7 linked regions of the Ovis aries genome follow. The protein of the gene in region 3 interacts with the protein of the main gene of each other region in a pairwise test. Links are inferred from orthologs where the notes say so. Each region holds a gene or a part of one and is shown on either strand. Other genes may lie near its edges. The genes, in order: PLEKHB2, DAZAP2, STAM2, ARRDC3, RNF11, LITAF and ENTREP1.

Region 1 (2,803 bases), about 42 Mb from region 3:
TTCCCACACTAGTAGACATTTGTTCAGTTGTCTATTGATGTGAGCTTGAGGTCTTTGGTTTGAATTGGCTCCTTTAGTTGGAGTCCTCTGTTTCTGTCTTGTTGAGATGGTACTCATGACACGTAATTGCTCTGCAGTTTCCAGGGCCAAGTCTGAGAGAACACCTCTAGATTTTGTAATTCTCAATTTCTTAGTTTGATAGTAATTTGTAAAAGTTATCTGCCTTTATTTAGTCTTTCCAGGATCTTCCCAACCCAGGAATCGAACCAAGGTCTCTTGCATTGCAAGCGGATTCTTTACCATATGAGCCACCAGGGAAGCTGAAAAGTATCTGACTTAGTTGTTCTTAAAATATCTAACAGTATCTTCCTTTTCTACATTCATGGTTGGATCATTTATGTAAAGATTAAATTAGATGATTAAAATGAGTACAGTTTGGAAATGTTCCCCAGCTGACTTTGGTAAAGACTTAGCTTTTGGTAGGAACAGAGATGAGCTGTAGGAGAAGTTGGCTCCTGGTCATGGAGTGAGGGGGTCCTTCTGTGGAGCTAAAGCTGGAATGCAGATTTAGATTTTCCAGGGGTCTTTAAATTAGGTCAGCTATAGGGTCCTGCTGTATTACATGTTACTAATTGGAGTTGCCTAGTTGAAATTTTTAAAATTTCAAGGCTGTGATTCTGAATGCCACAGTTCACCAGTTATGTAGTTTAAATATTACATTAAAAAAAAATCTTTGCTTCTAATGTTATTGCCTGACGACTCTAGGTTTGTAATGGTCGCATTTTCCTGCCCTGTGGCTTTGATGCTTCTCTTTCCTTCATCGTATTAGGGGCATTGGTGTCTGAGTGCGCACTGTAGCCAGAGCGCCTGGGTTGGCTTGCACCCAGTGTGCTCAGGCCCCATGCACCTCTCTCTTTCCCTGTTTATAGAATAGGGTAACAGTAAGCTCAGCTGCAAGGATTGTTGTGAGGATTAAGTGAGTCTGTACATATAAATGCTTGTAATACTGAAAGTGCTTAGACTGGTAAGCACTTATCATTTAGTATCTTCATTCTTTATGGACGTATCACTATTGGATCAATTTCTCACTTTCCTAGGGTTGAACTGTTAAGAGAATAATGGGTTAAGGAGGAACGTTAGCACTGTATGTGAGGAAATTTATCTCCAGTTGTGCTGGGTCTTCGTGGTTTCATGTGGGCTTTTTCTAGTTGCAGAGACTGGGGGCTCTTCTCTTGTTGTAGAGCACAGGCTCTACGGCCTGCAGGCTCAGTAGTTGTGGCTTGTGGGCTCTGGAGTGTGGGCTCCTCCTGGTCTGGGGATCGAACCTGTGTCCCCTGCATTGGCAGGTGGATTCTTATCCACTGCGCCACCAGGGAAGTCCTGTGGGAACAATTTTAAAGCTAACTAGCTTTTGGACAACATATTGTGAAATATAGAAGAAAACATTTCCAGTTGAGAACTTTAATTGTGCAGCTAAGTTTAAATTTGTTTAAAGTTTGTTTTTTAGATGTTTTACCTTTGACAAATATTTTTCTCCATAAAGGCATAACATTAAAAATGAAGAGCGGATTATGTTAGCAGATTTAAGGTTTAATTTAATTTACATATCGTTTCCATGAATACTAAGAAGCTGTTTAGCTTCTGGATGGGGATCCTTGGCTTTCCCACAGTCTCTAGGCTCTGTGTGTCTCCTGTGTTCCTGGTCTGCCTGCCATCCTGATGAACACTGTGGGGGCTAAAGCAGACGTTGTGGGCTGGGGTTTGCAACTTCATTACGATTCTGCTCTCTGTAGTGTCCGGGACTGTGGACCTTGGGAAACTGAGCATCTTGATTTTCTCTTAGTTCCATCTTAGATACGGAGTGTCCCCCTCACTCGGCCAAGCCGAGTCCCCTTCATCTGTGGTGAAGGAGAGCTGGGGAGCGCTCACCAAAGTCACCTCCCCCCCCCACGCCCAGCTCTCTGAGGGAGACGAGTCTGTAGGAAGAGTGCTGTGCATGGAGAAACCTCAGGAAGGGTCCCAGGCAAATGAGCTCTCGTTTTGAGTGAGTGTTGAGCTTCACAAACTGCTCCTCAGGAGTCTGTTCTTTCCTTCTTTTCCAGGGCTTTATGGACAGCAGCCTGCCAACCAAGTCATCATTCGTGAGCGGTACCGAGACAACGATAGCGACCTGGCGCTGGGCATGCTGGCCGGAGCAGCCACAGGCATGGCCCTGGGGTCTCTGTTCTGGGTCTTCTAGAGTCCATGGAACCTCGGTGTGCATAGCTTCTGAAACCCCGTGTGCAATAATATGATTTGCAGGGCATTTCTGTTTGTTATAAATGTTTTTAGTAATAGGTTTAATAGTTCTTTTGAAAGTAGTGACAAAATGCTTATAAGTACATAGAAGTACTGCAGAGAAAGCTTTGGACTGCTGTTTAGCTAAAATGTGGACTCTATGGCAGCACTGGCTCATTTGAGGGGTTTCCTTATAAAACTCTCTCAATGCTTTATTTGAACACACCCGTTTTGAAAGGCCATTTTCTTTTTAGAGTTAGATCTTACTTCTTAAGGGATAATTTATTTTAGTGTTTTGCTGGTAACATGGGTGATGTATGAGTGAGTGAGTGACCGTGGCGAGAAAAGCTGCAGTTTTTTTGGTTTAATATCGGACTTTGAAACCTCAGACCAGAACTGGCTGCATGTTACTTCAGGAGTTAATAGGCTGGAACCTTCCTTAGGCAGCAGTGTGATATCCCACAGCCTCTGGGGCTCCAGCAAAGCTGACTGCTCAGGACGATGGATGGGATGGCAGTTTCCCCCC
Region 2 (4,152 bases), on a different chromosome or scaffold from region 3:
ACACAGGGCTGTTGTGAAGATCTGTGATGACTCCATAAAATCATGCATATTAATGGTGTCCTGCAAACTGTAATTTGACACTGGAGAGAAAAACAGCGGACTGCTGATGAAGTGAGTACTGGTCTTTTCAGTGGTTTAAGTCATTCAACAGCAAATATGGATCAGGTTGCTAATGTTTACCGAGGGTTTTTCTTTTCAAAGCTTTCTTTTCAGATGCTTTTCTAATGTTCTTCCTACACTACAGAATGTAAACCATGAGAAAATAGCCTTGGGCTGTCTTGTTCAGCTCCATCTCTGTACCTGAACACAGCAAGCGTTCAGCAAATATCTTAAAGAATGGAAGCAATTGTTGCCTTAAAGGATGGCATCTTTGCTCTTAAGAACGATTAAGTTAGAAGAGAAGGGATACACAGAGAAAATACCTATCAGGTACCATACAGGTGTCTGTGACAGGTATCAAAGTAAGGGCCAGGGCATGGGTACTCCTTGGGTACCAAGAACATGCGTTTTAGTGCTAGCTGTTGCAGCGGGGTGGGGCGGGGCACAGCACAGCATACCCTTTCTGTCGGTGAGAAAGCGACACAGAAATAAAACACCGACAGCCTATCGGTAGAATAGAAAGGCAGTGAAGACTTGAGTGAGGGGAACGAGAGATAGATCAAGGGTTGCGAAGCATCTCAGGCAGTTAGGTAAGATTGTAGAAATCTATGTCCCGTGTGTGTGTGTGTGTGTGTGTGTGTGTGTGTGTGTAGGAATCTATGTCCCGTGTGTGTGTGTGTGTGTGTGTTAGTTTCCGGTTCGGTCCATGGGAAATGGCAACCCACTCCAGTATTCTTGCCTGGAGAATCTCATGGACAGAGTCGCACAGAGTCGGACTCGACCGATGAGACTTAGCAAGCATGCATGCCCCTTGTAGAAAGGCTGTCAAGGTGAGGTGACCTTGAGGTGCTGAACGTAGGTGGAAAAAGGTTCCAGAGAATAGTTTAATGTTACTGCCTCCGAGCGTTCAAGAGAGAGAAGATCCCGTTTTGAGACAATACCTGTATTTGGTTTTCCTTCAGCCGAGGGACAAGGGTAGGGGTTGGAGGACCAGACCCGGTGGGCGGGGCCTACGCGAGCGGACGGGATCACGCGGGCCCTCCCTCCTGCAACCGGCGGCCGGGCGAAGGGGCGGGGTTTCCGGTGGCAGCGGCACTCGGGCGTCGGGTGACGCTAGGCGGACAGATCGTCACGTGACACGGAAGTGACTACGAACAGGAAGAGGACGAAAAAAATAACCGTCCGCGACGCCGAGCCGAGCCGGACCCGCAGCCACCATGAACAGCAAAGGCAAGGATAGGGGGTGGCTGAGGCCGCCGGGGGGACTAGTGCTGGCCCGGAACGAGCGGGCCCGGAGCCCAGGGTCACCGAACGCCAGGCCTGGGGCGAGGTGCGCCGCGCTCCTGAGCCAGCTGCAGTGCCCGGGGCTGCGCCAGACACCTTCGTCATTCCCGAACTACGGCCGTTCGCTCCCTCACGGCCCTTTCTCCCTTAAACTCTGTGGCGCAGTTTGGAGCTGCGGACTCGGGTTGGGGGGGGGCTGTTGGGTGGGTGGGTTGGGGGGGTGGGGAGAAGGTTTGTCGTGATGGGCATCTGTAGGAGCAAATGGGGAGCTGGAGGCGAGATTTGGGTAGGCCAATGGAGAACTGGCAGAGGCGGGGCGCCGCGCTCCGGAACCACAGGCAGGCCTCCGGGCTTAACTAGTAAAGTGCCGCTCTGGTGGGCGGGCCAGTCGGGCCCGAAGGGGGTCTCTTCCCCCTTACCCTCGCTGGCGGCCAGAAAGTCTCCCGGTTTCTGTGTCAGAACATTCCCTTCAGCCCCCTCCACGATCTCAGCATTCACTTCCACCACTCACTCTTTTCATTTGGAAGTCGACCTTGAGTAGGAACCTGTGAGGTCGATGACCACAACCACCGTTACTCACGAGGTCTTGGTCAGTTACAACCAGACCTTTGGAGACCACGCAGGACAGGGAGACAGGACACACCGTTGAAATACCGGCTAGAGGGGATGCCCAGAACTGCCCTGCGTTCTGAGAGGATCTTGGGCCCAGCTAGACTTTCCCCTTACAGCAGTCGGCTACTGGATGTCCAGTTGGAATCCAGCTTCTTCAGCTTTAAGGGTGCAACGAGAATGCTTATTTTCTTGGCTCCAGGAATCAGGCCCTCTAGGGCAGTCTGTTTGGAAATCTCTTTTTGCTTATCCCAGCTAGATTAGCTACCCAATATGCCCTGCTTTGTTTTGGTGACTGTATGGTAGACAACATGCTTTTTTTCCCCCCTTGTCTTCCAGGTCAATATCCAACGCAGCCAACTTACCCTGTGCAGCCTCCTGGGAACCCTGTGTACCCTCAGACCTTGCATCTTCCTCAGGCTCCACCCTATACTGATGCTCCACCTGCCTACTCAGAGGTGCTTCCAGTTAACTTAATAATGGAATACTCTTGGATCATGTTTTCGGTCCTTGGCCAAGTCTGGCTCCACACATTTATTTACTTTCCACAAACAGAAGAGAGTGCTCACATGAATCATCTTAAAACGTGACATAGTTCAGCCATTTCTTTTGGGTTTGAGAAGGCATTATCTGATTGTTTTATGTTATTTGGCACTGGCTGAAGTTAAGAAGATGAGTTTGCATTCCCTGAGCCTAACATTAGCTATAGCAGGAAGTGATCCAGGAGAATATTGAGTGGCAGTGGAAAGGCAACTTGTGTAACTCAAAGAGTGTAATCTGCACAAGGAGAATTAAGACTTGACTCATTAAATTGAGATCTGAAATAGGAATGTCATGAAGTAACTTATTGCCTTCTCTTCTGCCTCTTCTAGCTCTATCGTCCGAGCTTTGTGCACCCGGGGGCTGCCACCGTCCCCACCATGTCAGCTGCATTTCCTGGCGCCTCACTGTATCTTCCCATGGCCCAGTCTGTGGCTGTTGGACCTTTAGGTTCCACAATCCCCATGGCTTATTATCCAGTTGGTCCCATCTATCCACCTGGTTCAACAGTGCTGGTGGAAGGAGGGTATGATACAGGGGCCAGATTTGGAGCTGGCGCTACTGCCGGAAACATTCCTGTGAGTATGACTTGGTCACAAAAAAGCTCGACCCTTGTGTATTTTAACTTTCTGAAATGACTGGTCATCCTTTCATCATCCCTGGGTAATAGTTGCTGGTATTGGTGTAATAATCACTGACGTCCAGTAGTCAGGCAGAAAGCACTCAAAGGGGCAGGAGAACCGTGGCCAGTCAGTAACATCTGGCGTACTCACTGATGTTAGAATTTATCAGATTCCTTTGTTTTCCTGTCTTAGGAGTCCTGCCTGCTGCTTTTCCAGTTCACTTTGATACTAGTTTAGTAACACTCCTCATTCATTCCATAAGCATTTATTTATATGTGCCATCAGCATGGCATCGTATTAGGAACCATGACGATTAAAAAAACAATGCATAATCCCTATTAAATTGCATTTAGAGAGATACTAGGGATTTTAGCAATGTCTCTTGATTAGTTCCCCTATGTATGGGAATTAGAGCCCATATGGTCCTTGCTAGGACCATCTACTCAATAACCATAGGCTAGGGATGAAGTGAAAATGCTGTCATCAGGTAGAGCCTTCAGATTATCCAGGGCCATTTGAAAACTGTCAGGCCCTGTGATATAAGTCCCTGGACCTGGTACCCGCTCCGTTTTGGGATGTGAATAGGAGTGATTTTCTGCACTGAAAATGCCAAGTCTGGACTTCCCACACTTAGAAGGTATCCATAGGCTTTATTTTGGATCCAGAACCCTTTAAATGAGTGGGTTTCCTGTTTATATCTTTGGCCTTACAAAGAATGTAGACCTGCTGGACTCAGATTGGTGGCCCAGATAGCTCTTTGAGATGCCGCTGGTTAGCACACTGCCATCTTCCTGATTGGTCCTTTTTCACCTTTGTCCACTTCCCTCCCATAGCTGCCCTCTGCCCAATCAACCTTGTCTTTTCCTTTCAGCCTCCTCCCCCTGGATGCCCTCCCAATGCTGCTCAGCTGGCAGTCATGCAGGGAGCCAATGTCCTCGTAACTCAGCGGAAGGGAAACTTCTTCATGGGTGGCTCAGATGGTGGCTACACCATCTGG
Region 3 (4,140 bases):
ATATAGTTGTTTATTATTTAGTTTCTCGGTCTTTTCCAACTCTGAGACACCATGGACTATAGCTTGTTAGGATCCTCTCTTCATGGTATCTCCCAGGATACTGAAGTGAATTGCCATTTCCTCCTCCAGAGGATTTTCCCAACCCAGGGATGGAATCTACGTTTCTCCCGTATTCCAGGCGGGTTCTTAACCACCGAGCCACCAGTAAAGTCCCAAGACATACTAGGAATTTTTTATATATTAATAATTTATTGGCCCTAATATATTATGATATATATTATTTTGAACGGCGGTGTTGGAGAAGACGCTTGAGAGTCCCTTGAACTGCAAGAAGTTCCAACCAGTCCATCCTAAAGGAAATCAGTCCTAAATATTCACTGGAAGGACTGATGCTGAAGCTGAAAATCCAATACTTTGACCACCTGATGCGAAGAACTGACTCATTGGAAAAGACCTTGATGCTGGGAAAGATTGAAGGCAGGAGGAGAAAGGGATGACAGAGCAAGAGATGATTGGATGGCATCACCGACTCCATGGACAGGAGTTTGAGTAAACTCCGGGAGTTGGTGATGGACAGGGAAGCCTGGCGTGCTGCAGTTCATGGGGTCGCAGAGTCGGACACGACTGAGCGATTGAACTAAATTGAGTCCAGCAGTATTCTCATGGCAAGACCACGATGGAAAGAGAAAAGACAGGAGTCGGCACAGAGCCATTGTTACTTCGGCCGCTGCTTCTAGGGTGGTTATTCCCGAGGGGTTTAGGCGCCGGAGAGTGCCGCCCTGCAAGCGCTATGGGCGGAACCAAACCCTTGGCCGACTCTGCGCTACCAAGGCTCCTTCCGTTTCCAAGGCAACGGGACTGTGACGCGAACGCAGCCGCGGCCCCAAAGCCGTGTGGCACCACAGCTTAGAAAGGAACCAATTTGGAGAGAGCTTGGTCGTCTGAACCCGCAGCCCTAGGCTGAGAACCCCGGACGACCGTACCCTTAGAAAAGCTGCCTCCGGCAGTGCAACTTCCGGGCCTCTGGCTTCGCCCAGTCCCAGGCGCGACGACTTCCGGCCGCGAAGGTCCCCTGCTCCGTGGCTTGCCCGGGTCCTAGCCATGGACAGGTGGCCGCGGCGGCTGCCTAACCCCTATTGGAACTTCGGACTAGGGCTGCCGCCTCCTCCGCGCGGGCGGCGGACACAGGAGCGCTGAGAAGATGCCCGCGGCTGGCGGGACCTCTCCCCGGGAGGAGAGTTGAGGGCGGAGCGCGGACCGGGAGCTGGCCCATCAGGCGGGATCCGGGCAGATGCGGTGGCGGAAGTGCTGGGACGTGGTCGGGGCCGAGCTAGACGTCTAGGAAGCCGCCGCGGCGGGTCCTCCAGCCCCGAGCAGCTGCCGAGCCTCTGCGTGACCGCAGCGACGAAGGCTCGGGCGCCGGCGAGATGCCTCTGTTCACCGCCAACCCCTTCGAGCAAGATGTGGGTAAGTGCTGGGCCCGGCCCTGGGCCGTTGTTTGTTGTGTTAGAAAGTGGGCGGTGGCGACTCTGGGAACTGGAAAGCCTAGGAAAGGGGGCGGCGCCGCCGCTCATAGGCATCCAGGAATTTTTTTGAGAGGGTGGGCAGCCTCGGCGCGTCCTCAGCGGCCTGGGGCATGTCTCCAGCCCACCTGAGGTTGGGGACCTCGAACAAGGACCATTCCTCTCGTCAAACTCAGGAATAGGGAGGAGCCTGGGGCTCTCTGGAGACTTCACTAATTGAGCAATTACGGAGTTGATGACACAAACTTTCAGCTCCCACTAGAGCTGGTTGAGTCTGGTGTCCCCCGGCCCTGCAGCCCCCTGCCCCGTGCTTAGGAAATGGTGCAGCAGACGCTGATGTGTAAGGCACTCAACACTTAGAGACTTAAAGTTGTTCCTGTTCAGTAGAAGGGAGGTGTTTTACCTCGCTTATATCCAGATGCGTCCAAGCCGTGATAGCAACTATTTACGGTAGTTGGAAGTGTTACTCTACCCATGGATGGCGCAAGTGCTATAAGGTGTTCTGTCTTTTATGAAAAGGAAAACCCCAAGATTTCAGAATAGTCCAGAACACCTGATATTTTACTTGTTGAGGGGTCGTCAGTGATTATGGAGCGAGATAATTAGGTTATGAAAAAGAAACCGCCAAGATTTCAGAACAATCCAGAACACCTGATGTTTTACTTGTTGAGAGGTTTTCAGTGATTATAGAGTGAGAAAAAGATGAACTGGGTATGAGAACTTACTTGTGGCATTAGAAAAGCAGTAACTGAAGCTGACTAAAGTAAATATTGATATTTTTGTAGCAGCAGTTAACTGTAGATACAGTTTTAGGATTTAGTGTAATGAAATGCATGGCTGAAAATTGCCAGTCATACTGAATATTGCACATCACAGAATATTGCACCTGTTTCATAGTTACAATTTTCTGACTATGGGAAAAGTCTAGAAAGTGCCCTGTTGTGGTTTGTGATTTCAAAAGTGCTTATTCAAAAGTCTAATAAGTATTTTCTATTTCCAGAGAGCTAGAAAATATTATATGTTTTGACCCTTTTGGTTTTCAAGTATGTAATTCCATAATTTCATTCAGCTTTTCTCTTGGTAGTTTAACATTGGTGACTGTTATAAATCTCGGAAGCATCACGTTGAGGCTCACAACCTCTGCCTTTGGAGTACCTAATGATGTCTTCTTCCTTGCAGTGAGACCTACACTTTTTATTGTTGTTGTGAAGACTTTTGTTTTGTCACAGTTTTAAAAAAGAAAAAAGCAAACTAGAATAAGACAAGTGATTTTCAAACTTAAAAATTGTGGAACTCTTCAAGGGAGATTTTTCATGGAAGCCTATTGTTTTCTGATTGAAAACTTCTCTAGTGAAAGTAAGCCTAGTTGCTTTTCTAAACCTTCCCCTCAGTGGCTCCTGAGGTTCCAACATGGTTTAGTAGATCATAGTTTAGTACTGCTGTAATAAAAGAAGCACTGCCCTTCAGACAAAAAAACAAAACAGAACAAAACCATGTATAGATTATTTAATGGGCAGTGCCATCAGCCAAAGCTTCAGGTACTTATTTGTTAACTTAAGTATGACTGACTGGAAGTCAGTATCCAAAAGACAGTTTAAAAATAAAATAGAAAGCTTGATTGTAAACTTCTTTTAGGCAAGTGGTTGGAATTAATAGAGAAAATGGTATGATTTAGGATTTCACATTGACTTTATATCTCTATCATAGAAGGAAAATTACATATTGCTCTTTGAAAGCTTAAAGCTTTCTTTAATTTGAAAGTAAAGTAATATGACACGCAAGTCATTATTTAACTTGCGATGTCCACAGGAATGTTCCTTTGCAATGTCATTGTCCTTTTCACCTGCTGTCTTTGATTCAGTCAGATTTTTATTACCATTGTTTCTTTTTTGTCATTGCTTTGTTTACCTTTCATTTAACAAATAGGCATTGAGTGATTACTGTGCACCAGAAATTGTGTTAAGTTCTGGGGACACAAATTTAATAAACAGACTATGTTCCCTCAAGCAACTCTCTTTCTAATGGTGGATTCGTACACATATAAAAAGATAATTGTAGGGACTTCCCTGGTGGATAAGAATCTGCCTGCAAATGCAGGAGATACAGGTTTGATCTCTGGTCCAGGAAGGTTCCACATGTGATGGAGAAGCTAATCCTGTGTGCTACAACTACTGAGCTTGTGCTCTAGAGCCTGCGAGCTGCAACTCCTGCAACAAGAGAAGCCACCACAAATGAGAAGCCCATGCGCCACAAGGAAGCGTAGCCCCCACTCTCCACCACTAGACAAAGCCCACAAACAGCAACGAAAGACCCAGAGCAGCGAAAAAGAAATAAAAATTTTTTTTAAAAAATTGTAATACAATGTGAAAAATACAATATTAGAAATATAGGCAATGCTTTATATTTTCCCTCTATTTACAGCAGTCATTTTCCCTGAAAAGAAGGCAAGGACCTCAGGCATACATTTTATCTGTACCAGTGTTGACACTAGCCTCTCTCTCTCCCTGCTTTCCTGACAGTACTTAAACCTGCAGGGAGTAACCACCTCTTACCATGTGTATGATATGGTCATTTTATAATTAACTGAAAGTTGAAACTACCTTCCTTTGGTTGGTAC
Region 4 (3,651 bases), on a different chromosome or scaffold from region 3:
CACCGCCACCACCGAGCTTTTGCATCCCTTCGCCGCCCCCACCCCTATTTCCTTTGCTGCAAATTTAAAGGTGTCAGGGTGGCCCGAGCCAGATCGAACCGGTCACCGGCTGGGGCGTGTAAAGCGGAAGCGCTGCGGCGCCCTGGCCCCGCCCCCTCCCGCCGCCAGCAGGCTAGGCTGTGCGAGCGCGAGTGCGAGCGCCGCGCGACATATGCCGTATGTATAGCGGGGCGCGCGGGCGGCGGCGGCGCGCGGGCGGGCCGGCTGGGATCTGCTCGCGCCGGTTTAGGCCGGTCCTCTCCTGCTCCGGTCTAGTTCTTGATTGACAGCCCGGCACTTGTTTACCACGGCGCGGCCGCCGCCGCCGCTCGCCTCAATGAGACTGCTGAGCTGGCACAAAAAGGGAGCGAGAAGGGAAGAAAAGGAGAGACAGGGAGGCAAACTTTGGGCGCCTTCAGGAGGGAGCGGTTTTAAATGTCCCCCAACTCATCAGCCGCTTTCAGGGCCGAAATCCAGGAGAGAGAATTTGCACGGGGGTGGGGGGAGAAGAACAAAATAATGGTGACAAGACTGAGTCGTGATGGTTATTGAATAAAAGGTATCCACATATAGGCATCTTTTTTTCCCCCCTCTGAGGGAAGCATCATTTTTTGTGTGTGTATTTATTACTTTTTTGAGGGAAAGTTAAATGATAATACCCGTTTCTGACAGCCTATTTAATGATAAAGGTTTCTACACCGAGGAAGCTGCGTTAGTAGACATTTATGTAATTAAATTACCTAGTTAGAACGCTTCAGAAAAGCATGTCAAGAATCCAGAACCCCCTCCCGTATTTCCCTGAGGGTTTTTTTTTTTTTTAGATAGTTTGAAAAATAACCTATTTCATCAAAAGAAATTGGATGTAAAATCAAAGGTCATCCTGTTTTTTCCCTAGCACTGGGGAACATCCTTATCTTCATTTTTCAAGGATGTATGACCTGTTTTTTCCCGTTAAGCAGGCACATTTTAAGTCTAAGGTACATCATATATATGTGAATTTTTAGCTATTAGACTGAGGTCATAATTTTAGGTTCAGTAACAATTTTTATTTTTGACTATGAAACCGACATTAAAATCACTGTTCCTTTTTTTTTTTTTAACTCCCAACATCTACTTAGCAGTTTTCTAATCGTTTGAGTTTTCACATTCATATTTTCCGTATCAAAACTGATATTTTTTTAAAGGTTTACGTGAATAGTTTTCATTTTATATGTAGGCTTATTAGGATAAATTTAAGTAAATGGTTGAAGACAAAGGTAACATCTTAGTATGAGATTTGAGGTCTGAGTCTTAGCCTGTAGGATGTTAGCTGAAGATGCTTTGCAGTTTAGGTTGTTTTCCATTAAAAAAATCACTTATGGGGTATAAATATTAATTATCCCCATTCTACAGATGAACCAGCTGAAGACAGGAGTTTTATTTTACCCAGAAGTGATGAAGTTGGAATTAGAGTTCAGATCTCTCACACTCCAAAGTTTGTGGCCTTATTTAACTATGTGAGCATCTTTTAAGTTCTGACATCGTGAAGAGAGTGTGAAGGTTTATTAATAAATTTTTTGTTTTCTGTTTTAGATGACGATAATTCGGAAGAAGGCTTCAACACTGTTCATTCAGGAAGGCATGAATATGCATTCAGCTTCGAGCTTCCACAGACGTAAGTATTTTGTTAACAGGCGTTTTTCAAATAAACATCCTTTCTTTTAAAATGAAACATTGTATATTTAAATATTTTTAGTTTAAAAAAACCCTTTTCATTACTGAAACTTGCTAGAGGAAAACAATATACTAAAAAAAAGCTATTTTTTAATCTAGAGTGGCAAAATTATAGAAAGCAAATCTCAATTCTTAATACTCTGTCTCAGGATTTGTATGATGTTTAAAAGTATTTCATTTAAAGTGAATGAATTGGAAGGTGCTAGTCAAATGGTAAGCACCTAATAGTTCACCATCAGCATTAGCTGGAAAAAAGATCATATCAAGTCTGTCATTTAGTAGTTTATAAAAGTTAAGTGTTCTGTCCTTTCTACTGATGCTTAACCAACACTAAGAAGGTAAAAATAATTAGGAATATCCTAATTTTAGAAGTACTGTGTGTTTATGATATGAATTCATTAGCTTCTGTGCAAGGAGCTATTGAGAATGTCACACAAGAGATATTGCGACCTAGACTTAAAAGGAAATGTCAATCAGATATCTTAATGTAAGGCCTGGAATATAGTATGAAAGGAAGAAGGAAAGTAAAATATTCATAATGTAATAATTATGTATTAGAGGAAATTATACAAAAAGCAGTTTTTAAAATAATGCCTTAACAGATATTAAAGCATGCAAAGTGGTACTTGTAATGTTTGTTCTGAAAGATAAACTTGCATTACAGAAGATTTTGTCAAGTGCCAAATGTACATAATTCTGTGTTCTTTAATTCTAGTACTTATTATATATGGATAGAGTTCATAAGGAGTATTTTTCAGAGTATCATATTGCTTAAGAACATTTTTAATATAATACCCTAATTACTTTCTAAGAGAAATATTTTAAGTTTGTAAATACAATAGGGCTAATACAGTTGGGCCTGAATATTTTCAAAGGATGAAGGTAATTTAATATAAATATATATTTTAATTCTTTCAATAAGCCACAGTCATTTAAAATAAACTGTAGAAGTCTTGAATAGATCCTGCATTTTATTTCTCTGTGCTATACAAATTAAGCAGAAGTCTAAAATGTAAAACAAAAAGTAAACACCGCTACTCCTCAAAAAAACTAGCACTCTACCTTGTAAATAAATGAACCTTGTGCATTTTTCTGATGAAATTATGAAAAGGAGACTAAATACACTAAAATAAAATCTTCCACAAATAATAAAATCAGAGTTGAGAAGAATTCTGATTCTTTTGATAACAGGTCAACAGAAGAAATTCTCCTTCTTTTTAAGTCTATAATGTAGTTAGAAAACATGGCCAAAATTAGGAAATGGAAAGCATTTTTTAAGAGATTAGTGGACTTAATGAAATGTAAAAAGCTTTTGAAGCCATAATGACTATTCCAGACCTTTTCTGGATCTTAATTAGTTGCTATAATAGGAAATAGTAATTTTTAGCTAATGAAAAATGGAGCACCATAGGGAGTTTGGTCTGAATGTTTAACCAGAGTCTAGAATTTCTCAAGAGAAATAGTTAAACCATTCTTAATTTTATTTTTAAACTAAAGTCTTGACCTTTTCAAAAACTGTTCATTTCCAGACTTTGATAATTTTGCCACCAGCATTAAAAGTAGCCTCTTCTTAGTTTAAAGCAATTGTATTCGTCTGGCTTTTTTTAACCAAATTTCTGCACTATTTGACAATTATCTATTTTATTATTTGGAAGGTTCCCCCCCCCCCCCATGATTTCTCCCTTTGGAAATATAAATTACACCTTCGATACCTCATTGGTGTATAAACATATAATATATTAACACTTCTATGCTGACCTACTGTATAATTAATTAAACAGAGGTGTAAGATTAATATATGATCTTTATATTCTGCACAGACCACTTGCTACCTCATTCGAAGGCCGACATGGCAGTGTGCGCTATTGGGTGAAAGCCGAATTGCACAGGCCTTGGCTT
Region 5 (4,080 bases), on a different chromosome or scaffold from region 3:
GGGAAAAAAAAAAAAAAAGTAAATGAAGAATGAAAAAAAGACAGTCAAGACCCTCTTTTCCCCTCGTTGAATGAATATTAGAGCATTCTCATCTTTCTTATTTCCTCCCTCTACATACATTGCCTCTTGAACTCTTTGTTATTTCGGTTAAGAAGAAAGGCTATTCTGCCTCAGGCAATGTGCCAGGTCTTTGTACAGAGGAGGGGCAGATTCAGCTTGATCTGGCTGTGATAGAGACTCACAGGGACTCAGGAACTGAGTGCTCAGGGACTATGAGCACAGAGGAGGTAACTAACCCAGACAGGAGGGTTAGAGGACAGGCTTCCCAGTGGAATCAAAGTTGAGTCCAAGAAGGACAAGTGTGGATATAGTTTGATGGAAGGTATAAGCTCAGGAGTGGGGAGAAGTGAGTTTATGTCAGAGAAACATCATAGGTAAAGACCTCAGCCAGAGGGAATAGTCTTCTAGATAACTGAAAACTATTCAGACATCCTAAAGATTAGAATATGTGAGGGAACAAGGCCACAAATGAGACTGGGGAGGTAGCCAGATTTGTAAACCATTTAAGAATTAATACTTCAGTCATAACAGTATTGGGAAGTTTTTAATGAATGTTTTAAAAGGCTTAAATTCCTCCTACAGGAATGACCTGATCAGATTTACATTTTAAAAAGATAACTGTACAAATAGTAAATTGAATGGGGGCAATGGCGAACGCAGGGGAAATAGTTCAAAGTATTACAGCAGAGAAATGACGGTAGCTTGTACTATGGTGGTAAGAATAGAAATAAATAGAATAATCGGTTGAAGAATTCTTCTGACTGTGATGTAGGAGGATTGCAAAGTGACTGGGGAGGTAGTGAGTTTGGACTTTATTCTGAAGGGATAGAATATTTTAATATTTTAGTCATGGGAGTAATCCATTCAGATATGGGTTTTAAAATGGATTACTTGGCAGAAGGTGGCCAGAAGACTGTCAAAACAACGCACAGTTAAGAGCTGAGACAAGCGAAGAGGGAGCAGAGCGCGTGGGGAGGAACCGAAGACCCAAAAGAGGTATCGGAATCGCGTCCCAGGCTGTCAGAGAAGCAGAAACTGACGCAGCCCCAGAAACAGCTGCTGGGGACGGGGGAGGGGCAGGGGGGTGGCAAAGGAGCAGGGAGCACAGCCGGAGCTACCCACGCCTCCCAGCGCCGGGGGCGGGACCAGGGCACGCACGGCGGCGTGACGCAGGGCCGCAGCTGGCCTCGTTCTGGCCGCCGCCGCCGCTGCGAAGCGGAGTAGGATGAGGCCCGCGGCTGCGGCTCCGGCGTCGGCGGGGCCAGCAGTAGCAGCTGAGGCAGCAGCTGAGGGAGCCGCGACGGCTGCGCCCCCCCACTCCTGACCTGGATTAGGCCCAGCAGCTCCGTGGCCGCCGCCGCCCCGCGGGGGGGCGGGGTGGGGAAGTGCTTCGTCTCCCCGCCCCCCCCCCCCACTGCCGCCGCCTCAGGAGGCAACCGCCGCGACCCCGGGAAACCCGCGGCCCAGCCTTAAGCCCCCAGCCCCAGGGACTGGCATGAGCTGCCCTTCGGCGGCGCCGGGGGCCGGGGGAGCCGCTGCCGCCTGAACCCCGGCCTGCCGCCCGACCCCACCTCGCTGACCGAGGCTGACCGCGGAGCGTGCGAACGACCCCGCCACTGCTTTCTTCCTCCCCCAGATCACACACCCCAGCTCCAGAAGATGGGGAACTGCCTCAAGTCCCCCACTTCGGATGACATCTCCCTGCTTCACGAGTCTCAGTCCGACCGGGCCAGCTTTGGCGAGGGGACGGAGCCGGATCAGGAGCCGCCGCCGCCATATCAGGTAGGGGAGGGTGTGTGTTGGGGAAGGGGGGTGCGAGGAGTAGAGGCGGCTCTGGCGGAGATTGTGGGGGCTTCGGGGCTGTCTGTCACTGTCCCTGGCCTCGGCAACACCCGGCCTGAGAGGCACTGGACCCCCTTAGGGCTGGGTTTAAGTGTGATTGATCCCATCGTCAGTGTAGGGGGAATCCTTCACCTCCCTTCGAGCAGTGTGGGGATACTTCTGTCCTTGAGTTCTGGGATTCGAGTGTGTGACTATATCCCCTTGGCCAGTGACTGGTGGCTAGATTGTGGAGTTCGGAAGTGATATTTTCATGCCTTTATATGTGCATTGTGAGGTTCGAAGGTGATTTCCTCATCACCGGCTGGATTATGGGTTCTGGATAAGTGGTTAACCTCCCCCCACTACCCCACCCCACCACACATACATCCCATTTATACTTTAAAGTGTGATCCTCCTCTCCTCCCTCTCGTCTGTCTGTATTCATTGAATTTAGTAGGCGTTCATTTCTTCCTGTGCTTGGGAGATTTTCAAGTAGTGATTTTGGTTCCAGCAACATGGAGTTGCTTCTTTACATATATATGTATACATATTTATGTGTGTGTGTGTGTTTATACTAATTGTAGGAGTCAGCTTAGCGACTGAACAGCAACAACAGTATTAATTCTGAACCCCTCCTCTTTTTGCTCCACCCCTGTGACACACCTTTTAAACGCGCTGATTTAGAGAACTTGATTATCTTGAACTTTGGAAACCTTTAAACCTTACTTGAGAAATACCTTCTGTTACTCATGGTTTCTCCGTGTGTATCAAAGACTTGTCTTCTAAATGACTTCACTGCTTTTTGTGCAGCAGTCAGCAGCTCCAGATGTCTTTACACGATTTGTAAAGAGCTGAAGCCCTCTTTAGAAAACTCAAAATAGATAGGTAGATGTTATAATCCATAATATATATATAAACCTTTCCTCTACTATTTCAAGATGTTGATTAAAAACTTTACCAGAAGGACTTGGATAGTTAAGTGGCTTAATTTTTTTTCCTGATTGGGGTTTAATTTTCTAACTGGGCAGTCTCCTTTGTTGTTTCATGTGGTGACATCATTATCTAGTGTTATTCTTTTCTCATTCCTATGTTAATCAGTGTCTCACCACACCAGAAAAACCTGATCACAAATGCTGGTTTTCTGAATAAAACCCATCAGGGGCCTTTCATATATGCTGGTAAAGTCCAGTCTTTTCATGTGGCTTACAGAAGACTCCATGATTTATCCCTCACATTCATATTCCAGGCCTGTCAAACACAACAGCTTATTCACACCTCTCTGCCTTAGTTCCAATTGCTCTCTCTGGAACCCTTCCCCCAAGGTCAGCAGGTGAGCGTGTAATCCTCTTTGAGGACTCAGCTGAGCTGTATCTGAAGTTCCTAAATTCCCCTCCCTTTCGCCCTGAATCAATCACTCCCTTCTTTGTGTCTCCCCTGAAGGAAGTGTCTGCACTTTCAAAAGCAACGCATATAACACTTATATGTTGTCCTTGTTAAGTTAGATGTGTGTCTCATTCTTGAGGCATTTCCCTCCTTCTCCAGTATAAGCTGAATGCAGGTAGGAACTCTGTTTCCTGTTTGTTGTATCCTCAACATCTGGCTTCATAGTAGTTGCTCAGTAACTGGAATAAGGGAAAACTCTAAGCCCTTGAGAACAGGGACTACCCGCCAGTGCTTAGTGCAGTTTCTGGCTCATGAACACTTAAATGTTGAGTGAATTAATGAATTTAAATGGAGTATTGTTATGTAAGTTTACACACCCATTTCTTCCAAAGAATTGTCACAGGAGAAGTCTCTTTAAAAATCCAAACCAAATCTAAGTGCTTTCCTGAGTCTTTGAAGCAAGTAAATTGTTTCACTCTTACTTTCCTTCAAATTTCACTCTTGATTTCCTTCATAAATGTTTATAGGACAATGTGCTTATTTCCATTTCATGAAAAAAATTTTTTAGAGGTACGAGTTTTTATTTCAGAATCTCCTATATTCCTTAGTCCTCTTATAAGCAAGTAAAATACCTTCAACTTATTGTACTCTTTCTCTTAAATACATGTATATCTTATACATTGTTAAGAATAACTTCTTTAGAATTTATGGAGATTGTATTCAATATTTGCCTTTTCCAGGAGGATAAGATAATAAAGAGAGGGTTTTTTTGGTATCAGGTAGAAAGGTCTTTTTGAAATGTTTGTGACAATGGGA
Region 6 (4,264 bases), on a different chromosome or scaffold from region 3:
ATAGTGGGGGCAGGAGGAGAAGGGGACGACAGAGGATGAGATGGCTGGATGGCATCACCGACTCTATGGACCTGAGTTTGAGTGAACTCCGGGAGTTGGGGATGGACAGGGAGGCCTGGCGTGCTGCAATTCATGGGGTCGCAAAAAGTCGGACACGACTGAGCGACTGAACTGAACTGAACTGAACTGAAATAGTAGTTACTCATTTCCAGAGCTTTCAGTGATTGAGTGAGAAAGTAGCAGGGGCCACAGGACACCCTGGGTGCATGCAAAGTATTGGGTTGGCCAAACAATTCATTTGGGTTTTTGTTTCATCTTAGGGAAAACCTGAATGAACTTTTTGACCAGTCCAATAGTTAGCAGCTGCTGCTGCTCCTAAGTTGCTTCAGTTGTGTCCGACTCTGTGAGACCCCAGAGACGGCAGCCCACCAGGCTCCACCATCCCTGGGATTCTCCAGGCAAGAACACTGGATCGGGTTGCCATTTCCTTCTCCAATGCATGAAAGTGAAAAGTGAAAGTGAAGTCCCTCAGTCGTGTCTGACTCTTAGCGACTCGGTGGACTGCAGCCTGCCAGGCTCCTCCGTCCATGGGATTTTCCAGGCAAGAGTACTGGAGTGGGGTGCCATTGCCTTCTGCGAGTTAGCAGCTAGGATAGGTTTAATTTAGCACAATCTGTGCTGAACGCTTTGCTTGCATTGTTCAGCTAAATCTCTGTGGATCTTACGAGACAGGTACTGTTATGCCCATGTTACAGACAGGAGACTGAGGCCAGAGCAAGTGGGCACATGGCCAAAGGCACATAGATTTTCTTGGGTTGCCTGGATGCATCTGAATGCACAGAATTGAGGTATGGGGAGAAAAGGGCCGACTTCCGGAGGGCAGGGAGCGCTGGATGCCTTGGCAAGGGATCTGGAGGTGATCAGCATTGTCTGAGAACCGGGAAGGAGAACAAATGCCGAAGATGGGGACCCAGGGGCGCAGGGGAGAGCAGAGTGGGAATGGAAATCAGGAGGGGAGTTCAAGGTTGTGCGGGCACGTGGCGCGGATCCACGAGCAGGAGCAGAACCCGAAAGGGGAGACACTCTCTGAGAGTGGGGTCTGGGCTGAAACTAGGGGGTTCCAGGGAGTGAGCGGGGTCTAGGGGTGTCAAGGGGGTGTTCCGAGGGTAGCGGGAGATCGGAGCGGTGGAGGGGAAGGGTAGAAGCCAGAGGGTCGCAGGTCCCTGATGGGGTTTCTAGCTTGGGGGAGGCGGCCCCCCGCGAGTGGGAAGGATCGGGTCCAGGCGGCGCATAGAGGCGGGGACAAGCCGGAAGCGGGAGCCGGAGCGCCCCGCCCCGGCCGGTCCAGCTCCCGCCCCCCGCCTTCAGGCGCTCCTCCCCGCCGTCTTCCAGCCAGTCCGCCCCCCAGCTCCATCTGCTCAGACCTCCCGGCTCGACTGGCGGCGCGCGCGGCGGTGAGTGAGGAGCGCGTTGGCTGGCGGCGGGGGCGCGGGCTGGGGTCGCCGACGGGAGGAGGCAGCGACCGGGGTGCTGATCCGCGGAGCGTCGAGCTGGTGGTGGCTGGAGAGCGGGGTCGGTGCGGCGCCAGCACCAGCTCCGGACTCCGCGGGAGTGGTGGCGGTGTCCCGGAACCCTGGCGGGTCCCCGGGGTTCGAAGTGGTTGGAGGGCGTCGGAGTCCCGCCGCGATCTTCCACGCGGGGCCGGGGAGGCCGGGCTTCCAGTCACTTGGCGCTTGTTCCCGCCGCAGTCCAGGCAGGGTCCCGTTCCTGCTCCCCGAAGTGAGCCGATCGCCCGCGGATCGCGCGCGGTGGGGTCATCCCGCCCTCACCTGAAAGCGCGCCCCGTGTTGCTCGCGGGGGTCTCCTCCTCGGGAGAGGACACCCCGAAGCTTTTCAAGAAAGTTTCGTCTCGCTTGGTAGCTGCTCTCTCAAAGTTGAAGTTTCCAGACTTATTATCGCACGGCTATTCAGAAACAAAACCAACCAACCAAACAAAAAAAGCCCAACAGATTTCCGACGCCGGTCCCAGAAATTCGACTTCTGGGGTCCACGATATCTGCTTTTCCCCGCCATCCCCCGCTCCAGGGGGTTCCCCATAGTATTCAGGACCGCTCTCGGCGGACACCGGCGGGCCTAGGGAGCCCACGAGAGATAAAAATTCCGGACACAGAGCAAACGGAGCCAGGGCCCTGGCTAGACCCCTCGCGGGGAGGGGTTGTGGGGGGGGGGAGCGGGTAAGGTAGGCACCCTGTGAGCGCAGGGGTCGGCCGGGACCCCGTCCACTGCCGCTGCCAGATACATGCCAGTGGCACAGGCCGGCAAGGTGGACATTGGCCCTCCACGCCCAGCTAGGTAGGTGGCCTCTTTCTCTTTGGTTTCCAGGTCACTGTGATCTGGGCAGTGGAGTCATTGTTATGCCAGAAACCCTTCATCAAGGTCAGGACAGGAGGTGATGGGGAAATGGGCAATTCTGGACCGGCTGTGCATTCCAGGGATCAGGCCGGCTGGTCTTTGATTAGTTGTCTGGTGGCTTTTGTGCTGCCGATAAGTGGGGCTGATGTCATTGCATGTCGGACTGAGCTTTGGTGGCTGGGAAATCCAAATTCTGGAAGGCACAGGGCCTTCCCATCTTAGTGCATCAGAGTAAGACTCGCCCACCCATCTTCCCAAGGGGAATAAGCCCTTGGCTGGGTGAGCTGGTGCTGGTTCAAGGGCTGTCTGGAAGGCAGGTTGGCCCTGCAGTTCCCCTGGGGCCCTTTTAAGGAAAGATGTGGTTTGCATTAGTGTGTGCTTGACTGCCTCCCCTATCTTCTTACCCCCCACCCCGCCCCCTGGCCCTGCCCAAGCCATCTCTGATTGACTCTTACAGTGAGACTCACCTGGATGTGGTGTCCAGCGTGAGCTGGTATCTGGGACTCCACCAGACTGTTTGGTTTTATCGAAGTTGACTTGGAGGAGGCCTGCAAGCAGGACTTGGCTCTACCTGACGTAGAATAATACCCATGCTGCTCCTGACTTACCTCAACCAGGCCTTGCACTGGGGTTTAAAGGTGCCCCAGACTCTCTAAGAAACGTCTATTGTAGATCTACGATGGGAGGGGCCCATCTTCCCCCTTTCCTGTTACTTGAAGGCATGAATAATAGATGCTTTTATTCACATTTGTGAAAGTATCCTCATTGTAATGTTTTTGTGGATTAAGTGACTCACTGATTGATCTGAGATGGAGGATCAATTTCTTAAGTCTCTAAATACTAGATTGAAGTCATTTCACTGTCTCTGGTGAGTAAACTTTCCTTTGTTCCTTTAGTCCCTTTTACTGGATGGTTGTGGGGAAATAAAATGCTACTCTAGCCTTGTAAAGGACACAGAAGAAATGTCTCTATGTTCTGAGGGGTTTATGCTGCAGTGGAAAGTGGAAAAAAACACAGGTGGATAGTCAGTGCTCAGCAATGCCCTTTACTCTGGAAGGATTGAAAGAAATGGAAAGGAGTGAACTACAAGTCAGGGAAAATTTCATAGGAAAGCAGAGACCTGAGAATACATGTCATAGAAGGTACATGTATTCCAAATAAGCAGAAGAGGCTCAGCAAAGCTTTGGAGGAAGTGCAGGCTAGCCCATAGTTGAGGACAGTAAAAGAGAAGCCACTGAGAGCAAAGGAACTGGAAGGCATTTCCAGCCCAAGTTTATTTTCAAGGAGATAGACAGGGCATGCTTCCTTGCTTTTACCCACGACTGGCAGTGCTATGGTGCCACTCTGAGAATGGGAGTATGCCCATCAAGGACTTAAAATTCTCCTGCTGAAAATGAATCAACCCCAGCTACAGTGATGGTGGAAAAAAATGAGTTCCATGACTCGAAGTCTTAGAGTTTTGACACTGTGACCTGTCTTCTATTTGTTTGTGCTTTTACTGCAATGAAAATAGCTCACTGGGCAGTGTGGTCCGTCTCACCAAGCAAGTAGCCTTCCTTAACTCATCGGGGTTGAGCTCTAAGTGGTACTTTCCTGGGTCCTCACAATTTCATCTTACTGTTTGCACCTGCGCTGGGGCTCAGGGCAGTCGGGATAACACTTTTGTGGCCAATGAATTTGTCTTCTGACTGCAGATTATTTCTGTGAAGAACTGTGTGTACTTTCATAAGACTTAGGGCCTGGACAGAAGAAAGTAAATATCACGGGTGTCTCAGTGGCAACTCCCTGTTTACCTAGTAGGTAGGAAGTTAATTCACCGAGATCCGAAAAGTCAGAGGCACTTTCTTCTTCG
Region 7 (4,367 bases), about 90 Mb from region 3:
AGATTGACCAGCGGAATAAACTTATTAGCTGACAGAGCTTCTCAAGACTCAGACTTTTTTACATTACACAATGTAGTAGAATGTTAAAAACTGAATACCTTTAAGCTTGTGCATAAATTAAAATGTATAATCTGGCACATGAGAAACTCAATTTAACATTACTTGCAATTTAAGAATACCTACCATAAGATGTTTTAAAGTCCATGAGATCACATACTTCAAACGTTTATTTTAAAAGACAACTCCTTTTTTTTTCCGGGATTTGACGTTTATTTCCAAGAGGAGTTTGTAAAAGAAGTCCTTGAGACTATGAATCACAGGTGCTTTAATAATTCAAAAAGTGTACATGTAGACCCACATGCACATTGGCAGTGCATTACATTGTGAGTTACAGTAAGTAATGAACGAAATAAATACAGCCTTTGTAAGCAGAGCATAAAAACAGATACATGTTTCCTTTGGTTTAGTGGGCAGGAGGATATAAAATACCCTCCCCTTACTTATTACTCACCTAATACTGAGACTGACTTTCTGCAGAGTGACAGTGCTCTGGTTCTTAACCTGAAAAAATTCTATCATAATCATTTTATGTATAAGAACACTTTCAATACATAAGAATTCCTACCATTAGGAAATGAAATTTTACAAAGGCAAATCATTTCTTTTTAAGTTCTAAATATATTTTATAAATTACCAAAAACAGATTAGAATTTTATGAGGCCGTTTCTCTGAAAGTCTGGGATTCTGTGTTCTACCAGATGATGCCTAACACAGCTCAGGAGTCAGCGTGAGACGGCCACAGAGTGTATGTAACCCTTGCCAGCGCTCCAGGCCGTTGGTTCTCTTTCTGGATGCCGGATACTTCCAAGGAAACTTTGGCCTCCTGCCCACTCCTACGCTGGTGCCAGGAAAGCACCCATACCCCTCATTCCCCACCTCCCAACTTCCCAGGCGGAGGGGCTGCAGAGCAGTCAGCGCCGGGAAGCCCCACGCGAACGGTGACTTTGCTCTGCGTCGTCCTTTCCCGAAACCCTGAGGCTTAGACTTTTCCCAAGTCACCCACAGCTCTCTTCCTGTCATCCTTCCCCTAGGCCGGGGAAAAGTTTAAAGCCGGGCTCCCTTCGTATGAAAGGTCGCCAGAGTCGCGCTCGCGGCTGGACCGGAAAGGGGCGAGGGGCCCCAGCGCGCCTGCGGCGCTCCTGTTGCGCCCCAGCTTGGCGGCTGTCGGTACCTCCGCGCCCAGTCCGCAGTTCCCTCCTAGCCCGAGGGAACCTGTTTTAAAACTGGGGCACCTCTTCTGGAGCCCCGGGAGAGAGCGCCGGTTTGGCGGGGCCCCAAAGGGTGCAGGCGCTGCGCGGCGGGACCTCAGGGCGTGCGTGGTGTCGGGGGCGGGGTGTGGGAGTGGGGCGCGCCCGGGAGGCCGGAGGCCGACCCGCCGGCTGGCAGGTGGGTGCGGCCGGCGGGAGCCGGGGCGGCGGCTGCGGCAGCAAGTGGTTGGGCCGTGCGCATTTTCTTCCCGCCCCCTCCGCGTCCGAGCCCGCCCGCGTGCTCAGAGCCTGGCGCCGGCGGCTCAGCTCCGCGCCCGCTCCCCGCTGCCACCGGCCGCTCCTTCCCCGTTTGTCCATGTCCCTGCCTGTGGTGCTCCCGGGCTCCTGCTGCCCGGTGGCCGGGCTCTCCGGCGGGCCGCAGGCCGGGGGCCCGGGCGCCGCGGCCGCCGCCGCCCAGGAGCCGCCGCTGCCCCCACTACGGCCGCGCTGGCCCCGGGCTGCGCTGCAGCCCCCGGCGCGGCCTCGCTGCGGGGCTACCGCCGCCGGGGTGCTGGCCGCGCCGCCTGCACTCTCTTCCCGCCGGGCCGCTGCCGCCGCCGGGGCTCCGGGCTCCGCGCTGCTGCCCGCTCGCCTGCTGTTGTCGCTCGGTCTGCTGCAGCTGATCCTGGGCTGCTGCATGGTGGCACTCAGCTTTGGGGCACTGTCGCTGAGCAGCTCCCCGCAGGTGAAGAACTCGTGCCCGTTCTGGGCCGGCTCCTCGGTGAGTGCCGCGCGCGCGCGCCCCGCTCACCGCGGGAGCAGGGATCTAGGGCCGGTTCCCTCCTCTGCCTCGTGATTGAGCGTCCTAGGGCTGCACTTGGGGAGGAGAACCTCTCAGACCGGTCGAAGTTTTTGGGCCGTTGAGAGGGTGGAGGTCCATGGTGAATTGGGTTGCACCTGGACGGTGTCTATTCCATGTAGGCTAAAGGGTTTTGTTATTCCTGTCAAACTAATGGGATAAACTTGATTTCCAGCCCCTGGCGAGACTAGAAGAATGGGGGTCGGTGGCAAAAAAAAAAAAAAAAAGGCGGGAAGAAAATGAGTAAACTTCTTCTTTCAGCCATTGAGTGTTTATTTCGCTAACAGAGTCCGCAAGGCTCTCGATCTATTTTGTTCACCAGTTTATCAGCAGTACCAGGCACACGGCAGGGGTATTTGTGGGATGGATGAAGTGACAGGTTGGGGCATGTCACTTATTTTATTCTGCACTGAGGCAAACGGAAACATGAAGTGTCTGGTGTAAAGTAACTCCACTGTGTTTGGGGACGAGCTCAAGAGGTAATAACAGTGTGTTAACTCGCCGTGTACTTGGTCGTTAAAGGAGGGCCCTAGGCCCGCACTGGGTTCCTGGAGCCACACAAACTGCTAGGCAGAATTTAATTCTTGAGAACAGGAAGCCATCATGTGGAGAGCTTGGAGATGTCTACCCGGCTCTGCCACTGGCCCTACCGGACTGGCGCCTCCAACAGAGAAGGCTGATGCGGGGCAAAAGGTCTGCTGCCCTGGAGCATCTCTGCCTCCAAAAGAGTTCACAACTTCCAAGGCAACCAGTGTCTTGAGGTTTGTTGGGGACTGAGAGACTTGGAAACAGATCTTCGTGAAGTGATTGTGGAAGATGAATATGTAAAGCAAACAATCTTTCTCTAAATTAAATCTAAAAGCCTGGCAATGCCTATAGTTCTTACTGAGATCTGTAATAAATGTAGGCTACCTAAAAACATTGGGTGGTCCTTGCAAGTCCACACAAACCCACTTTCAAGACCAGATTTAAGAATATGGCGGTGGTTGGTGCTCACTCCTGTCAACCTCTTTGCAGCCCCATGGACTATAGCCCACTAGGTTCCTCTGTCCTTGGGATTTCCTAGGCAAGAATACTGGAGTGGGTTGCCATTTCCTCCTCCAGGGAATATTCCCCACCCAAGGATCCAATCAGGGTCTCCTGCATTCTGCATTAGCAGGTGGATTCTTTATCAAGGAGCCACATGGGAACCAAAGACTTTTAAGATTATAGGGAGAACGAATTGAACCCAAAGTAATTGTTTGAATAAGAACTGTAAGAAAATTAGGTATGTAGAGCCTGGCTTGGTTTTTATGCTTAAACTGATGCCAGTTTGTTCTCCTTATTTTGATGCTGGTACGGCCTGTGCTATGGTGGGTGGAATTCACAATCTGTGCAACATATAAAAGAAATCCCCACTTCTAGCCCTGCCCTTGGGCTCTCCAACAGGCTTCTGGGAGTTCTTTAAAACTTCACGAGGAGGAATATTCTCAACAGGGTAGGTAGGGGTTGGCTCTGTCTTACTCCTTAGTCCACTTGTCAGCCTAAATTCAGCCAAATGATGGGTGCATTTAATTTCTCTAAATACCCTGGGCCAGAAGTGACTCTTGCATACATTTTAGGGATTTGCTCTTTGTAAAATCATAATCTCTTGTCTTGTCAAAGATAACTAGTTCAGGATTACTGAAAACTATTTTTTCTCTCCTAAAATTAATCCCCTAAATCAGTGTACTCCTGTGAATTATATCAGAGGTAAATGCATTTCAGATGTCAGTTGAGCCATGGTTAGATTTGATGAACTAACCACTCCAGTATTCTTGCCTGGAGAATATCATGGACAAAGGAACCTGGTGGGCCACAGACCATAGGGTTACAAAGAGTCGGACATGACTGAAGCAACTTAGCACACACGTGTGCATCAGATGGTAAAGGCTACTAGTTTGGGCCTGCTGGCTGGGCATGTTCTTGTCCCCAGGACCCAGCAAACCAGAGCAGGGAAAGAATCAGTGATTTGGAACTAAGTCTCTTCTATAGGGTCCTTTTTCCACCTGTGCCCCCCAACTCTATATGAAATTTGCAACTGTTATTTTTTGTGGCCTGTTTCTGAGGTTGTCTTCAGAATTTGCAGTGACAACAGAACCAACAGATACTGCATGTCCGGAACAACGGAATAGGATTTGAGAATGGCCTTAAGGCCCATAACTCTGTTGCAGGACAAGAGTTTCAGGAGTAGCATACCTTTTGAATTTATGTGTGTGAGAGGCATTTTTTTTTAAACTCTT

Evidence for each region.
Region 1: the proteins of STAM2 (region 3) and PLEKHB2 interact in binary tests that used the Homo sapiens proteins (3 or more experiments, as listed by UniProt). The two-hybrid records come from large-scale screens. The link is inferred for Ovis aries from reciprocal best matches to the Homo sapiens genes STAM2 and PLEKHB2.
Region 2: the proteins of STAM2 (region 3) and DAZAP2 interact in binary tests that used the Homo sapiens proteins (3 or more experiments, as listed by UniProt). The two-hybrid records come from large-scale screens. The link is inferred for Ovis aries from reciprocal best matches to the Homo sapiens genes STAM2 and DAZAP2.
Region 4: the proteins of STAM2 (region 3) and ARRDC3 interact in binary tests that used the Homo sapiens proteins (3 or more experiments, as listed by UniProt). The two-hybrid records come from large-scale screens. The link is inferred for Ovis aries from reciprocal best matches to the Homo sapiens genes STAM2 and ARRDC3.
Region 5: the proteins of STAM2 (region 3) and RNF11 interact in binary tests that used the Homo sapiens proteins (3 or more experiments, as listed by UniProt). The link is inferred for Ovis aries from reciprocal best matches to the Homo sapiens genes STAM2 and RNF11.
Region 6: the proteins of STAM2 (region 3) and LITAF interact in a two-hybrid assay, tested with the Homo sapiens proteins (4 studies listed by BioGRID and IntAct). The two-hybrid records come from large-scale screens. The link is inferred for Ovis aries from reciprocal best matches to the Homo sapiens genes STAM2 and LITAF.
Region 7: the proteins of STAM2 (region 3) and ENTREP1 interact in a two-hybrid assay, tested with the Homo sapiens proteins (2 studies listed by BioGRID and IntAct). The two-hybrid records come from large-scale screens. The link is inferred for Ovis aries from reciprocal best matches to the Homo sapiens genes STAM2 and ENTREP1.

The regions. Positions count from the first base shown.
Region 1 is NC_056055.1:114,957,415-114,960,217, forward strand, and holds part of PLEKHB2 (pleckstrin homology domain-containing family B member 2), read left to right. Parts: intron 1-2,102; coding exon 2,103-2,239; coding exon of another isoform or gene 2,240-2,294; 3' UTR 2,295-2,803. UniProt on the Homo sapiens protein: Involved in retrograde transport of recycling endosomes.
Region 2 is NC_056056.1:134,989,116-134,993,267, reverse strand, and holds the start of DAZAP2 (DAZ-associated protein 2), read left to right. Parts: upstream 1-1,234; 5' UTR 1,235-1,316; coding exon 1,317-1,329; intron 1,330-2,331; coding exon 2,332-2,450; intron 2,451-2,864; coding exon 2,865-3,110; intron 3,111-4,026; coding exon 4,027-4,152. UniProt on the Homo sapiens protein: In unstressed cells, promotes SIAH1-mediated polyubiquitination and degradation of the serine/threonine-protein kinase HIPK2, probably by acting as a loading factor that potentiates complex formation between HIPK2 and ubiquitin ligase SIAH1.
Region 3 is NC_056055.1:157,423,435-157,427,574, forward strand, and holds the start of STAM2 (signal transducing adapter molecule 2), read left to right. Parts: upstream 1-1,332; 5' UTR 1,333-1,427; coding exon 1,428-1,467; intron 1,468-4,140.
Region 4 is NC_056058.1:88,494,418-88,498,068, reverse strand, and holds part of ARRDC3 (arrestin domain-containing protein 3), read left to right. Parts: exon of another isoform or gene 1-216; intron 217-1,431; coding exon of another isoform or gene 1,432-1,513; intron 1,514-1,611; coding exon 1,612-1,693; intron 1,694-3,572; coding exon 3,573-3,651. UniProt on the Homo sapiens protein: Adapter protein that plays a role in regulating cell-surface expression of adrenergic receptors and probably also other G protein-coupled receptors.
Region 5 is NC_056054.1:25,684,476-25,688,555, forward strand, and holds the start of RNF11 (RING finger protein 11), read left to right. Parts: upstream 1-1,231; 5' UTR 1,232-1,719; coding exon 1,720-1,842; intron 1,843-4,080. UniProt on the Homo sapiens protein: Essential component of a ubiquitin-editing protein complex, comprising also TNFAIP3, ITCH and TAX1BP1, that ensures the transient nature of inflammatory signaling pathways. Promotes the association of TNFAIP3 to RIPK1 after TNF stimulation.
Region 6 is NC_056077.1:10,789,279-10,793,542, reverse strand, and holds the start of LITAF (lipopolysaccharide-induced tumor necrosis factor-alpha factor), read left to right. Parts: upstream 1-1,394; 5' UTR 1,395-1,556; intron 1,557-4,264.
Region 7 is NC_056055.1:67,369,116-67,373,482, reverse strand, and holds the start of ENTREP1 (endosomal transmembrane epsin interactor 1), read left to right. Parts: upstream 1-1,539; 5' UTR 1,540-1,623; coding exon 1,624-2,028; intron 2,029-4,367. UniProt on the Homo sapiens protein: Functions as an activator of the E3 ubiquitin protein ligase ITCH in the ubiquitination of the CXCL12-activated CXCR4 receptor. Thereby, triggers CXCR4 endocytosis and desensitization, negatively regulating the CXCL12/CXCR4 signaling pathway.